Linked DNA regions of Oreochromis niloticus. The protein of the gene in region 2 interacts with the protein of the main gene of each other region in a pairwise test. Links are inferred from orthologs where the notes say so. Each region holds a gene or a part of one and is shown on either strand. Other genes may lie near its edges.

Region 1 (7,685 bases), on a different chromosome or scaffold from region 2:
ACCAGCTGAACAGGCATCGCACAGCGGGGTACTTCCATCCACATTCCTTGCATCCACCTGACAGCATGATGGGGAACAGAGTGTTGCTCATCAAGCAAGCTTGTTTGCAAGAAATGTGATCTCCAGTTTGACAGACTGTGTCTGTGATTCACCTGAGCTCCAGCCTCAAGCAGCAGCTGCACGCACTTGGCCTGTCCGTGGAGGCACGCCTCGTGCAGCGGTGTGATGGAATCCACGGCCACCATGTTGACCGAGGCTCCGCCCTGAATGAGCTCCTCCAGTTGGGAGGCCTGACCGAGCGACGCTGCCTTGTGCACCTCTGTTCGCTCCGCCCAGCAGCCTGCAGAGGAGCAGGTTCAATCATGAACTGAAACCTCATCACATTTCCACCATTTCATTTATAGTAGTTGTTCTGCTGGCGTTTCTCAGTCTGCATGTTACCTGTGGAACACCTATACACTCGCAGCGTCGGGCTGAATGCAGACAAGCCGAGAGACGATGGAAAAAAGACAAACCGCGTGTGTCCTTAGGAATCTTGAAGGACTGTTTACATGAATATCAAAATGCTGTAAAAGTTGCTAAATCTCTTCTAACAGTCATTTCAAATCCTTCTAACTCATTCGCCTCTACAGCTTCCAGTAAACTTTGTGAAAAATTTTAATAGTTTTTCACGGCAAAAATATCAGATTTGAGGTTTTCAGAAGTATTTGTAGTACTGATCCCTACTGGGCGTGTCTTACTTATCCATCGTGCCCTGCTGCTTTAAACCAGTGTGATCCTGTGTGTTTATCAGCTTTAAATGAAGCGTACGCGCAGGTTTAATAAGGAAGCTCACATCTGTCTGCTCCCAGGTGTCTCCGGCTAAATCTAAACTTCACATCACTTCCACTTTCCCACGCTCTCAAGCTGTTTGTGACATCACTATTCTAGTCCAATCATCTTTCTCTCGGCCTTCTTCGGCTGAGAGAAAGATGATCTCACTGCGCATCTATGGGAACCCCTGCTTTTCTGATGCTCGTAGATCCCAGCCGACACTGTAGATCACAGTATCCTGTTATGAGGCTCGAGCATTGTGGGCATTAAGGGAACTGCTGTACAGTGGTTCACTTTATGAATAGGAGCTTCTCAGTCCAGACAGATGCTTATTCCTCAGCTGCAGCACCTCTTACTTGTGGAGTTCCTCAAGGATCCATCCTAGGGGAACCCTATCTTCTTATTTTCCTTATGTATGTTGGCTCTAGGGTCTATTTTTATTTTAAATATAATATCTCTTTCCACTGCTTTGCTGATGACATTCAACTCTATCTGCCATTTCATAAAAAAACTAACAAGTCTTGGACGTAGTGTTTTCAGTGAGAGAAACTTTTTGGATCCCAAAAAGTTGAACAGAATCAACTTTTTGGGATTTACTTACCTGGATGACTGAGCATGCATGAAGACAACTCTGTGAAACTGTTATTGGACTGTTTGGCTGATATAAAAGTCTGGATGGACTCAAACTTCCTCCTCCTCAACAATAACAAAATGGAGGTTACAGTATTTAGGAGATCAGATCTTTCCAAAACCATTCTTGAGCGTTTTCTGTCGTTCAATCGCTCCTCTGTCAGGCATCTTGGCGTATTTTTTGACAGCTCCTTTAAATTCACAAAGCAAATAAGCTTCATAAGCTTTATTCAGTTACGACTTCTTGCTAAGGTAAAACTTTATTTCCTAAGGATTTTGAAAGATTGAGCCATGTTTCATATCAACGTGCCCAGATTACTGCAGTTCCCTTTATGTTGGTGCAGGTCAGTCATCTCTTCACCACTTGCATAAATAAAGTGGACATTGACATTTGCACAGATATACAAATAAATATATACAGAATTAGTACTTTTCTAGCTTTTCTACCACTCGGTGACCAATGTGTGATGGTCAGTGTGTGTAATTCTAAGAGACGCATTCACCTTTTCTTCTGTTTTTACTTAGCTTGCATCCACACCTGGGGCCAAGTCCAACCACCCATTAAAGGGGACCTGTGTGGTGATAGTGTGGTACAGTGCTTAGCACGGTCACCACACTCCAAGAGAACCAGGTTCAAGTTTCTTGGGACCCTTTGTTCCAGCTTTATTTGCTCTTTGTGGGGTTGCATGAACTTCCTCCCACAATCCATTTCATATACACTCATACTGTGTGCCAGTGGCTTTCCATCAGTGCAAGCTGCCTAGTCAAATCTAAAAATGGACATAAATGAAAACATGCCAAAGTAAAAGAATCTCTCTCCCTTCATCTCAGACCGCGCTGTCGTAAAGCTTCTTGGATCTTTGTATAGTTCATTTTGCATCCTTAATATCACATCCTCTACAGAGACAAAGTCAAGTGTATGTCTCAATCATCCAGGTAAGGAAAAAATGTTGATTCTGTTCATCTGGACGTAGCGAGAAACGTTTCATCATCATCCAGTGACTTCTTCAGTCCCAGCTGACTGCAGGTTTCCCCAACCTTATAAACAGGACATTTACACGATGACTCAAACTAGCACCACTGACCAACAATATGCTAATTGTCAAGACCATTGATCAACAACCACCGATCAATGATCTTTGATCAGTGGTTGTGATTGATTGTAATAGTTTATGGTTCACAGCTCAGTGCGTGTTTGGGTTTTGTATGGCGACCATTGTTGTGTAAGTTACCGCCTGCCACTTCTTTTTCGTCACGTTTTCCAGGTGAATAAATTCTCTCTATGCCAGCTGTTATTACCTGCTAGCTACAGCCAAGCTGACGTCAAACTCGGCCACGGCTCGATTAAACGACAGTCTCGCCGGCCATGTTGTCTGCGCTCATACTCACCGATGTCGCCAAAGAAATAGGGCCGAGACTTTTCAGTGTCCATCCTCCGAATACTTCCCCCGCAGAACAAGCTCGGCTGACATGAAACGCGGGGACAAACGAGCTGTTTGTAAACAGTCGCGTCCTCGCTCTCTACATGCGGCAGGAGTCACGTGACAAAACCCGACCTCCGCGGGCATGTTGGACTTTGTAGTTTTTACCCCAAATAAAACTGTTTCACGCGTGGAGAGTACAACAAATACTTATTCTACCTCAGATTAAATAATAATCTATGAAAATCTGTGCAGTAAAAAGCCCTTAGCAACATATGACGCCGTGATGTCACATATTAAACGCAATTCATAAATAAATAATATGGATAACATACAATATCAAAAATACATTGACAAATACTTGACTTTCTAAACATTCATGACCCCCGTGGCTCAGGATTTAATGGGATATTAGATAATTGATTAATAACAGAATTTAAATTTAGATCTATTTGATTATCAATAAGAAAGAGTTGAAAACTGGTGCGATTTTCAGGCCCATGTAAAATCCTTAGATTATATAGAAATAACTGTTATTGAATCCATGGCAAACACAGAGATCCAAACAAATCCTCACCAGGTGAGCAACTCAGCCTCGGTATAAGGAACCTGTCCTGAACAATACGCCTGGTCACGATCAAAGATGAAACTATAATCTGGTGTATTTAACAGCTGTTTCACACAACAGCTGGTGTTGGAACCACAGAGTAAGCTGCCCTGCAGGTAGAGGTGGTAAAAGTACAGGAAGATTTACCACTCACAATATTTCTGTTGAGAGCTCCTGTAGATTGTCTCTGAACAGGCTTTGATCAGCTGACCTGTGTAACTGCTGCTGCTCTGAGGTTTACTGCTCTTTGACCATTTACATAACTGAATTGAACAGTATGTAACCCAATATCTGACAAGCTTGCTTGGCTGATTTCCAGTCCCTACACTGACAGTACACTGTTTATGCTGTCTTCATACTAGATGGTATAAAGTTGGCATGAAGGTGGAATTCAGTGAATTAATCTAAGTGTCATCAGCTACACTTGATGTAATCTAATTCTGATTACGAGTCACACACTGTTCTTTACTCTAAATCCATCACCGTCACCTAACTAATCTGTTTGTCCTGTACCAAACAACTGTTTCATCTCTTTTCATGTAGCATCTCCTGGTGAGCAGTACCCAAACAGGACAGCCATTCATCGATTGTCTCAGGGGCATCTTTACACAGCCTGGGGTCTTGCCTGGTGTGATAGACCCCAGCCTCTATGGAGCGTGTGCTCAGAGCTTGTTCCTGTGCTGCCATGATTAGTGCCTCTGTGCTGTCTTTCAGTCCAGCCACTGGTAGGATTTCTTTATGTCAGCCACTTCCTCTGTCTGGGGATGCAGTTCCTGTCCTTCCATGATGGTTCCTCCTCTTCCTCGGGTTTCTGCTGCCTGAGGTATTCACCTAGCATGCATTTGGTTGGGGCCATCTTCCTGATGTATTTGTGGATGTTTGTTGTCTCATCCTGGACTGTGGTGCTGACGCTCACCAGTCCCCGGCCTCCGTCCTTCTGCTTAGCGTACAGCCTCAGGGTGCTGGACTTGGGGTGAAACCATCCGTGCATGGTCAGGAGCTTCCTGGTCTTGATGTCACTGACTTCTGTCTCCTCCTTTGGCCAGCTTATATCCCAGCAGGGTAAAATAACTTGACCTGAGTCACTGATGTGCTCTTGGAGTAATTTTGGTAGTCTGGCCGGTGTCGCGTAATGTGGAGTAGAGAGAGATGACAGTCCCCCTGTCCATCACAGCTGAGGCGATAAAAGGACTTGACACCCAGCCTTATGTGTTATAAATGTGTTGGAAATTGTCAGAGTGCTGAAACAGAGATTTATATAAGGAAATGCTTTTTCTCATTCAGCAATGAATTGGTTTAATTTGACATACAATGTTGAACTGACTGCGTACAGATATTTTCATCCTGGTTACATGTGTTTCATCTGAATGGCAAACATTTTGTGGGGACATTTTAAACCTTTTATAATGTTCATGTGTAGGTCTATAGGGATATGGGATGATCACAGTACTGGAGGTAGCTGTTGATGCGGTGGGATATATTCAGCTGACTCAGGACCTCTGATGCTCTGGTACCCAGCATCCTCCTCACAGCAATCCTGCAAAGCTGCTGCAGGCTCAAAGGATTACCTGTCAACAACAAATGTTTTAATAAGACGATCAGGCCTCAAAAGCAAAAAAAGAGCAAGAACATAAGAACTTGAACTTTTTTGCTGTAACTCAGACAGAACGCAGAACTTTACTTTCATAAAACCTGAGGCAGGTGTACGAGGGAGATGCAGGTGTTGTGTAGTCTATAGGCTTTCTTCCCAGGTTGTCGCTGGCGTACACATTGGCTCCAAACTCCACCAGCAGCTCAATCATTTCCACCATACTGACCCGAGCTGCGTGATGCAACGCTATTTCATGGAACTTCACTGCATTCACATTAGCACCTGCATAATTCACAATGATTTAAAGGTCTTAGTCCAAAGACATGCACAGGTTAAATGGTATAGCTGTTAGTATGAGTGAACAGCTGTCTGTCTCAGCCCTGTGACAAACTGGACACTTATCCAGAATGAACCCCGCCTCTCGCCCTCTGACAGCTTTGATTAGCTGCAGCACTCTCTGTAGGAAACTGGCTATCACCAACTGAACTTTCAAAATAAAACAACCATACATTGCACCTTTAACACACCTGCAGTTAGCAGCTCCTTGACACAATTCAGATGTCCTTTAGCACATGCTATGTGAAGGGGAGGACCAAAGTGGACGTCAAATGCCTCCAGCTTGGCACCACTGGCTATCAGCAGTCTCACAACTTGGGGATTACCTGAGAGGAATGTGAAGTGTCGTTCATAGGGAGACGTGATAGCATGACAGGGTGTTGTTCCTGCTGAAGGTTTACCTTGTATGCAGGCCTCATGGAGCGGTGAGGCAGTGAGAGCCGTGAGGGACGGGTTCACTTTGGCTCCATAGTCCAACAACAGCTTGGCACATTCCAGGCTGCCAGCCGCACAAGCATTACAAAGAGGCGTGCTACCATGGATGGTGCGTACATCCACCTGGAGCAAACAGATGAACATTATCTGTCTATTCTTTAGGTAATCTACCAAATTGTAGGGCCATGTTAAGACCTGAACAACAGAAACAGTAGTTATCGTTTGTGAGACTGTCACAGAGGGAGAGACTCTTGCTGATGCTTCACAGATCTCACGTACCAGCAGTGGGATTCTGCACCAGATAGCATCATTTTGTACCTGCTGTGTTAAGGTGTGCGACCCCAAGACTCTACACGAGTCAGGCTTGTAGAGTGAAGCTGTGCCTCACCTGGGCTCCTGCCTCCAGCAGCAGGCGAGCACAGTTTGGATGAGCCTGGATGCAGGCTTCATGTAGAGGCGTGATGTTATCCACAGTCACCATGTTGACAGACGCTCCGTTTTCTATCAGCTGCTTCAACTGCAAAGCCCTGCCGTGGGATGCTGCTTCGTGCAGAGCCGTGCGGTCTGCCCAGAAGCCTCACACACACACACACACACACACATTAGCACAACAGCAAAGAGACAGCTGAAACAGCTTCCATTAACCAGTGCATGTGTAAACCCAGTAAACATGGCAGCAGTACTGGGTGGAATACGTCTATTCTGTCAATATCCGTCAATGTCATGGCAAAGTGTCTATTACAAATATATGAACAAGGGCAATATTTAGACTGATTACAGAAATAACTATAAAAGTCTTTCCCCCTCATTCATCATGTTTAGTGCATACGTCCATTAGTTATAGTGTACTCCTCGAATGTCGCATTTTTCTTCATTTACAGAGAAAAACCGAGCATGTTACCCAGCTATAAGCCAGTTAGCTACCAAATGACTTGGTCTGTGTAACGGCTGAACTTTCTCGACACAGCACTGACGGGACTCTCAGTTGTTACTCTCCGCCTACATTTCCCGGTTAAAACCCGCTTTTGGCAGTGAACATACGGTTTCAGCCGTCAGCCGTTCCCGTAGATGTGAGCTGGGGTGTAAATTATTAACTGCTGACGATGCTTCATGCTTACCGATGTCGCACAGAAACGAGCGGCGGGCTGCTGTCACCTCCATGATTACCGGTTACCACACACGGTGCTCTACAGACACACATTAGTAAACGCTGAAAGGGTCGAACGTAAAGCCAGCGCGGCATTATGGGAATTGTAGTAGCGATCTGAAAACCAGACGAGGACTCTGCAGAGCTCAGAGATAAAGCGAACGCGGAAGTGTCAAAATCCATTTCCTAGATTGGTTACTCGGAACGATTTTTTTTATTTTTAAGCGAGTCAGTAATCATAGACCAGCTACCTTTAAAGCATTAAAGGCTCGTTTATACAGTGATGCGAACAACGTATGATAACTCTGCCGTGCGTGATTCAAGGCTACAGTAGTGCTTCGACAGCTGCAGCTCCTGGGCTTCATCTTTTCTTCTGCTCACCATGTTTGTCCCACGGATGCCTTTGATAAGAAAACTGACTTGCTGTGTGTCCAAGAAGCTCGTTTTAGTTTCTTTAGCTTGGCACTAACCATCAGCATGTGTTTGTGTGTTAGATCCATGGAACTGATGAAGGCAGTGTTTTTACCTGGTGACCCAGTATTACAAGTTCCAGCTTTCATCCATTATGACGCACTACCAAATGTTGTCTGGATAAAGATGTGTAGAAGCAGACATTACAAACCCTGCTGCATAGTTGAAACTATTAAATAAATAAATCTCACACAGCTTTGGATTTTGACAAAGTTTTTTTTTACTTTGCAGTAC
Region 2 (7,497 bases):
CAAAACAAATTTCCCACCTGTGGGACTAATAAAGGCCATCTTATCTTATCTTATCTTATTATACAGAGGTTTCACTGTAAGATCTGAGACTATAGCTGTTCAGGTGTTGGATTATATGAGCAGCTGCAGTTGGAGCCCATTAATATAAAGCTAACAGTATCTAATTTAGGTTAGCTAATGTGTTCTGTAGTTTGTTTTTCTTTTTTAATATAGTGTGCTTTAATATGCCTTAACTCTGATTAGTTTTCATCATTTTCAAATCATAATTAATATCCATGATTTGGAGTTCATCACTTGTTAGGTTTTGATTTTCAATATCTGTCACTTTTAATTTAAGCACACATATGCTACCAGTGACACAACGTAGAAGATAAACATCAAAGTCATGTTTCCTTTCATGAAAATTCAAACAAAAAAAAAAAGATATATATTTCAAAATGGAAAAAGGGGGGAAAGGAACATAGTAAGAATTCCTCCTTAAAATACGCATGGATCAGATCATATGGTCTAGGAATAAGAGGTCCCTTATGAACGATTTTTAAAAAAATTAATTAATTAATTTAAAAAGAAATGCTGCAGTACTGCAAGAGGTGAGCGCCCTCTTCTGGACAGGGCAGAAACTGTAACACCGCCCCTATGTGTGAATGGTTCATCAGAGACTTCCAAAGAGAATTGGTTGCCGTAGCAACAGCAGATCGTAATAGTGCAGCCTCTTGAGTGTGACCCTACACAGATATGTTTAATTGTGTAAGACCTGCTTTCCTCATCCTGAAGAGAGAGAGAGAGGCAGCATAGAAACTATATATTTCATTCTGTGCAAACAACTGTGACCCTGATGAATTTCAAATGTCTTTGCAACATGTGTTGTTTATTTTCTGTTGGGTTCATAAATCTTATGGATTCCTTGGAAGTTGGCAGGTGCTTGGAGAAAGTGAAATCAACATAGCTGAAACCCGAAACTTGATTCACTGAGAAAAATCATCAATTGAAACCATCAAAACTTCACCTGTCGCTTGGTGTCATACATTTTCTGGGTTGTTAAAGTTGATAAAGAAATAAAGAGATTAGTCAGTCTTGCAGACAAGTCTGATATAATATAGATTTTTGTAGAGAAAAAAAATCTACAACAAACAAAAAATTCTGTGGCCCCACACGTCTGTGTGTTTTCCTTGCACACTGAAAATCATCTGCTAGTAGTCAACAATAATGCTGTGGTGATGCTGAATGTGCATAATTACAGTATCATGAAGCCTTTTCTCAACAACTGAGAATGTGTTGACCCAACTCCTGCTCCTAGAAAACACTTTTTTTAATTGTTATTTTATTTTAATTACATTTATATGTTAATGTCGCATAATTTACATTAGCCCGGGGAAACACATCTAATTACATTTTTCTTTCCTGCATCTAGTAATGTATTTTAATAGCTACACACAGGAGGTGGTGGACACAATATTATGAACACCTACTGTGCCGTACAATTAGTTTCACTTTAAGGGGACTCAAGCTTTTCACTTTTTTCCCCAATAATTAATCGGGGATGTGTTTAAATAAAAATATGATACAAGTAGGACCAAATATAGGTGGCATGGTGGTCTGATGGCTAGCACTGTCACCCACACAGCAATTAGGTTCTGGTTTGAATCCAGGTTTGGGCCTTTGTCTGTGAAGTTTGCATCTTCTTCCGGTGTTTGCATGAGCTCCCATAGTCCAAAGACATATTTCGGGTTAGGAGATTCTAAATTGGCTATAGATGTAAAGGGTTAGGGTTGTGAAGATGAACTGTCTGTCTCTGTGTGTTAGTCCTGCAACAGACTGGCAATTTGTGCAGGGTCTCTCAGCCTATGAGGGTTTAATAAATGCTCCAGCCCTGTGGCAACCCTTAATTTGATAAGTGGAAGAAATGGACGAATGGGTCCAAAATACAAGCAACCTGTCACTTAGTTATAGTCTCCTCCTCACAGCCTAATGTATTTCCATGTTTAAACCTTTTAAAAGGCGTCCTTGCTCAGTGTTACATATTTTCAAATAATTACCGTAGATGTATAAAAATGTAAGCGATAAGCCTGAGTTATTCTTATTTTATAGAGATTCAATACCATAATTTCATATTAGTTTTTGATTAGCTTTGTTTGTGTTTGTTTCTCTCCTTGATTATGTCATCGAAGCAAGACTTGCCCTTTAATGAAGAGCAATCTGAGATGTGCTGAGAAGAAGGTAAGAGCCACTTCAAATGTCAACATCTGTGGGTAGAAAACTGAGAAGTAAGTGAATCGAATAAGGAGAAATTGCGTTGCTTTGATTACTGGTAGGAAATTGAGTTATTGCAGCTATGACAAAAGCAATGAAATGAGAACTTGAACAATCAATAGAAAAGACTTGAATAAGAGCTTTTTGTAAGAAATCAGCATGCTGAGGATTTGTGTGAGTTTGGTGGAAATCATGATGTGCCAGTCAGCTTAAAATAACTTCAATATTTGCCCCTTTTTTTCTTTTCTGGTTTGGTTTATTGTTTGTATTTGCAGACCTGACTAATTTAATAATAATAATAATAATAATAATGTATACTTTATTGATCCCCGTGGGGAAATTACTCTCTCTGCATTTAACCCATTCACTCAGTGAAGCAGTGGGCAGCCACTAATGGGGCGCCCGGGAAGCAGTGTGTAGGGACGGTAACTTGCTCAGGGGTACCTCAGGGTAGCTGTCCAGTGGGGGGGCGGCCATGCTACCTACTGAGCTATCCCTGCCCCAATTTTTCACACAGAAAACATTTCAACTGACACTAAAGAGTTTTCATTCATGTCCGCTTAACTGCTCTTTATTATTCCATGAACTTTGAACTGTTTGAACTGTTTTTTGTGGGGGGTTTTGTGGTGGTGGTTTCTTGTTTTTTCTTTACACACATCATTAAAATACTGTAAATGAACTTGTTTGCTTGTATGACAGCTGAGATTCATGTCCGTGTTTTTTGGGTTTGTGTGTGAAATTGAGACATTCAACAATAAAGCATTTTTGTTTTATTGTTTGCTGTGGCCCACTCCTTCACACTGCAGTTACATCAGATTCATCCTCCGTTGTTAAGGACAGGGTTTTGTTGTGTGGTTGGTGAGTTTATGTAACAAATTCAATTTAAAATTCAATTTTGAGTTCCCACAATTAAGTCGCTGCAATAATGAGATTAAACTGATTATTTAGGGACCTGAACAGGTTTGTAAGACTGTGACTCACTGTTTATTCATTTATAATAATGCAAATGCAGAGCAAAGTGCTTTTTTTAGCAACATCGACAAGCCCAGACCATCCAATGCTGTTTAAAGCTCTGCTTTCCTAAATTCTTTTAGAATTTAGTTTACATGAAAGGTTCCAGTTTTGGTTCAATCAAATCTCATGTAAACAGTTAAAACAGATGTTAAACGAGACTGAAAAAGCTACATTTCTTTTCCAAATATTAGAAGACATCAATGAAATAGACTTCTGCATTGTTGGTAGACTTTGGCAAGCAAAAAAGAGAGATATTTATATGTCTTATCCAAGTTATAACAATGCAGAAAACCCTGATAAGATTCAGACTTTGGTCAACCTTTCCTGGAAAGCAAAGATAAAGATTCAGAAATGTCTTTGTGATCTAACTGAGGGCACAAGGGTGTTCTTTCTGATCGATACGCTATTTGCTTCTATGTTGATTTAGCATGCACTGTTAGAGCCACAGCCTGCTCTGCAGATATGGGGCATTAGATAGTACTAGATGAAGAATAAAAGAAGATTAGTGGAGCACTTTCAAATGTATTTTTTTAACCTGTATAAAAAAGTCTAGAGAGACCCAAAGCCATTACAGTGTGTAATTATAGTTTATAATTATTATTGGAAAATGTGTTTTCACAAGCATCTGAGCAATTAAATACTAAAACTCCCATGTAGAGATAACAAGGTTGAAAATCAACATGATAGTAGACTATCCACCTTAATTAAAAGATATTTTTATTATAGGTCAATCCAGTTTTACTCTTTATAATTGATTAACCATTTCTATTATTTAGGTATTTTTGCAGCTATTTTCCATTTGAAGTACATTAGGATTTGACAAAAATACATTTGATGCCTTACTTGAATTTTGTGTTTGCCTAAAAACCGCTTTTCTCACATTATATGCTTACATTGTCGGATCTATTTTGAGGGCCATTCCTGCGCTGTCCATTACCTGCGGTGCTGAAACTGATGAATTAACCTGGTGTGTCTTTTTCTAATGTGAGCAGCAAACTAATTTGATTACGCTAAATACGATGTTTCCCCAAATAAAAAGTCATATAAATTAATATCGGCATCAGATAAGCAGACCGGGCCATCTAGTTGGAGCCTAACGTGCCAGTTCCCTTTACCGGCTCACTCCAGTCAGAGCGTGGTGCTGCGTTTCCCCCCACGCTTCGTTGCCCTAATTCTTCAACCCCTGATAGGTAAATTTCTTACGCTCGCCAAGCTATTAATGGTTAAACTACGTCGTGGGCGTAGCGGCTCCTTGTAATGGCGACCGTGCCGTAGATGTTCCCAGGTTTGTGAAAATGAAGCGAAGAAGAAGTTATTTCTTTTAAGTAAAACGCCGAGGTTCCCCGCAGGAGGACTTTGCGTCTACAACCATCGTCTTTATAAGTGGCAAACATAGCTGTACTTTTGAACTTTTACGCTCCCGAAATGATGAAGCTCAAGTCAAACCAAACCCGGACGTACGACGGGGATGGCTACAAGAAGCGGGCCGCTTGCCTGTGCTTCAGGAGCGAGAGCGAGGAGGAGGTGAGTTCGGTGATGTGAACTGTCTGGCGGGCCAAGCTAATATTAGCATCCGTAGGTTTTATCCAGCCTTTTCTGTTGTATGTAGATCGACACGTTTATCAACACGGCTTTGGTTTTATCCCAGCTGGAAAAGGATTTCTTTTATTCTCGTGTCGACTCCCGACGTTATGATTATTCACTATTTTTCAGCTGGTACTTACCCGAGTGTTATGTAAGCCTCTTTAGCAGTGCAGATAGCAGCCTCGGTTATGATCAGACTTACTAGCTCCGCGCTAATGCTAACGTTAGCTTGCTAACTACCCGGGTTGCTGCCGTGGGCAGCCGGCTATCGGCCAGGAACCACAGCCCACAGTACAGGCTGTGGTGAGTGCTGACTCTATTACTACCAGCTGTCGGATGGACAGAGAATATTTAGTATTTAAAGCGACAGCTAAGATATGTATCTGCTCGCGTTACAGATAGTTTGGCGAGCTAAGTGTATTGTGTTAATGCAACTAGCCAAACATTGTACTGCTATGTAGCTAGTAGCTATCCTAGTTTAAGCCAGAAGATGACTCTGGCAGTGATAGCCGGCTTGCTTGTATCACTTGTGTATTTTGATTAGTTTGTTTGCGAAATTGACACTGTTGATATTTGGAGCACCAGCTTAATGGGAGCGTCGAGCCCCGTGTGCACATTTTACAACATCGCTTATTAATGTTGCTATTTGTGTATTTATCGCTCCTATCTAGCCGTATCAGAAAAAGCGAAAACGTGTTGTGGATTACTTGAGCTCAGTCACGATTTAGGACGCTCACGTACAGTCAAAAGGAGACACAAAGATGCCTTTGTACTTAAAACATTTTACTAGGGGAGGAGATGGGACCAAACCAATTCCCCATTTTGCTTAAAGTAAAGGCCAGACTGTGTAGACACGGGTTGTTGATTACAGGAAACGTATCAGCATTACCAGCACCAAAGTGGAAACTTTTACCTAAGACTGTAGTTTATCTGACTGACACCTAGGCGTTCCACAGTTCATCTCCACTAAGAACCCAACATCTAAACTAGTTCACTAGCTATGATTTATTGACAGTAATAAAAGTACTAGTTATTTTAAACCCAATGGGTTATCATTTCCATTTTTCTTGAAGTTGTATTTTTCGATGTCCCAGTTGATATTATGTGAACAGTAACTCAGAGTTGGACTGTCATACCTGACCAGTATTATATGGGGTGTTTTGCAGGTGCTACTGGTGAGCAGTAGTCGACATCCTGACAAGTGGATAGTTCCTGGAGGGGGAATGGAGCCCGAAGAGGAGCCCAATGTTGCAGCAGCTCGAGAAGTGTGTGAAGAGGTCAGTTGTGTCACTCAATATTGTTATATCTTATTTAAGCCTGTAGCATGATGGCCTTTTCTCTTTGGTTTTCCAAGTGACAGATGTTGTCTCTATGTACACTGCGTACTGGGAACCTTAACATGATCTTTTTCAGAAATGTCAGTAGCTGGAAATATAATTCTCAGAAAGTGTGGCAAATTTGTTTGACTATAGACTCATAAGATGTATTGTATTACAATTCTGTTAACTCGTGTCTGTATTTAACACTGAGCCTGATACCTTGTTCTCAAAATCCATTTTGTCAATGTAGTCATCCTGTTTGCATGGACTGTAAGAGAGAGAGAGCCTAGCAACATGTAAGCTGTATCATAGCATCATGTTACAAAGCAGTCTTTAGGTGTCAAAGGAGGTCACACAGAGATTGAACACTGGCTGCACAGTAGTTTGACTGCAGTACAGTCAAGTCACACAAACGCAGAAAATGACAACAATTGAGTTTTATTGTTTGTACGTTTTCTCGTAGCTATATATATTAGTATACAGTAGTGGTCACATTACAAGGGCAGCTTGGAGGACACAACATGTTGTTTTTGTTGTTCTGTATTGGGGTGGATGGGTAGTAATTAGTAAACGGTTCTGAAGCTAATTGGAAATCAATATTCTACTTATACTGCTTACGCCTGTTTGTTAAATCAGGTATTCTTCCACTCTGCATGCTGTTCATCCTTTGGATATTTTGATCAGAACGGACACAGGGCACATAAGACACTGAATCTCACCCGGCAGTTGGCTCCTAGTGGGCCGCTGACCTTATAAAGCCTATCCTCTCTGTGTGATCCATCACACTGATGGATGCTGATATCATCCCTTATCCTGGCTCCTGCTGATTGGTAGCTTTGGTGGTTGCAGGACACTGAGGCCTGCCAGCAAATTTCCACAGGGTCAAAAGCAATGTCACATCACTGCTCAGGCTCCTTATGTGCTAAAAGGCAACATTCAGAAACTTTGTGCTGCTTGACACATCACCAACTACATTGGCTTTCTAAGCCTCTTATTGGACGATGGTGTAACAGGACATATCCTAATCCTGGTGAGCCTGTTCTGATTACCATATGAGTGATTGCTTATGCTTATTGGTTTGGAGTCTCTCCAGGGATGAGAGTGAAGACAAGGCATGCAGTAGCAAGCCAAAATTTACAGAGGGTTTCTTTGTTAGACTGTTCACTATCTTTGCTTATCCTTGTATTATGGAGATGCACCCTGACCCTGCAACCTGAAGACGCATTGCATAACTGGTAACGAAGTCTCAGCTGTACATCCTCTTCCCAAGTGTTGAAGTGTTGCCCAGTAGTCTTGTGTTACATGAATGTCAGAGCTGGGAGACTTTTTC

Evidence for each region. The genes of interacting proteins can lie anywhere in the genome.
Region 1: the proteins of nudt3b (region 2) and ankyrin repeat and SOCS box protein 13 interact in a two-hybrid assay, tested with the Homo sapiens proteins (2 studies listed by BioGRID and IntAct). The link is inferred for Oreochromis niloticus from reciprocal best matches to the Homo sapiens genes NUDT3 and ASB13.

The regions. Positions count from the first base shown.
Region 1 is NC_031981.2:37,811,341-37,819,025, forward strand, and holds the start of ankyrin repeat and SOCS box protein 13, read right to left. Parts: upstream 3,005-7,685; 5' UTR 2,876-3,004; coding exon 2,833-2,875; intron 341-2,832; coding exon 153-340; intron 58-152; coding exon 1-57. Other genes in the region: asb13a.1 (ankyrin repeat and SOCS box protein 13a.1), read right to left, coding at 4,894-5,039, 5,153-5,344, 5,590-5,956, 6,222-6,409, 6,952-6,994. UniProt on the Homo sapiens protein: May be a substrate-recognition component of a SCF-like ECS (Elongin-Cullin-SOCS-box protein) E3 ubiquitin-protein ligase complex which mediates the ubiquitination and subsequent proteasomal degradation of target proteins.
Region 2 is NC_031970.2:9,791,075-9,798,571, forward strand, and holds the start of nudt3b (diphosphoinositol polyphosphate phosphohydrolase 1), read left to right. Parts: upstream 1-4,406; 5' UTR 4,407-4,689; coding exon 4,690-4,788; intron 4,789-6,014; coding exon 6,015-6,125; intron 6,126-7,497. UniProt on the Homo sapiens protein: Cleaves a beta-phosphate from the diphosphate groups in PP-InsP5 (diphosphoinositol pentakisphosphate) and [PP]2-InsP4 (bisdiphosphoinositol tetrakisphosphate), suggesting that it may play a role in signal transduction.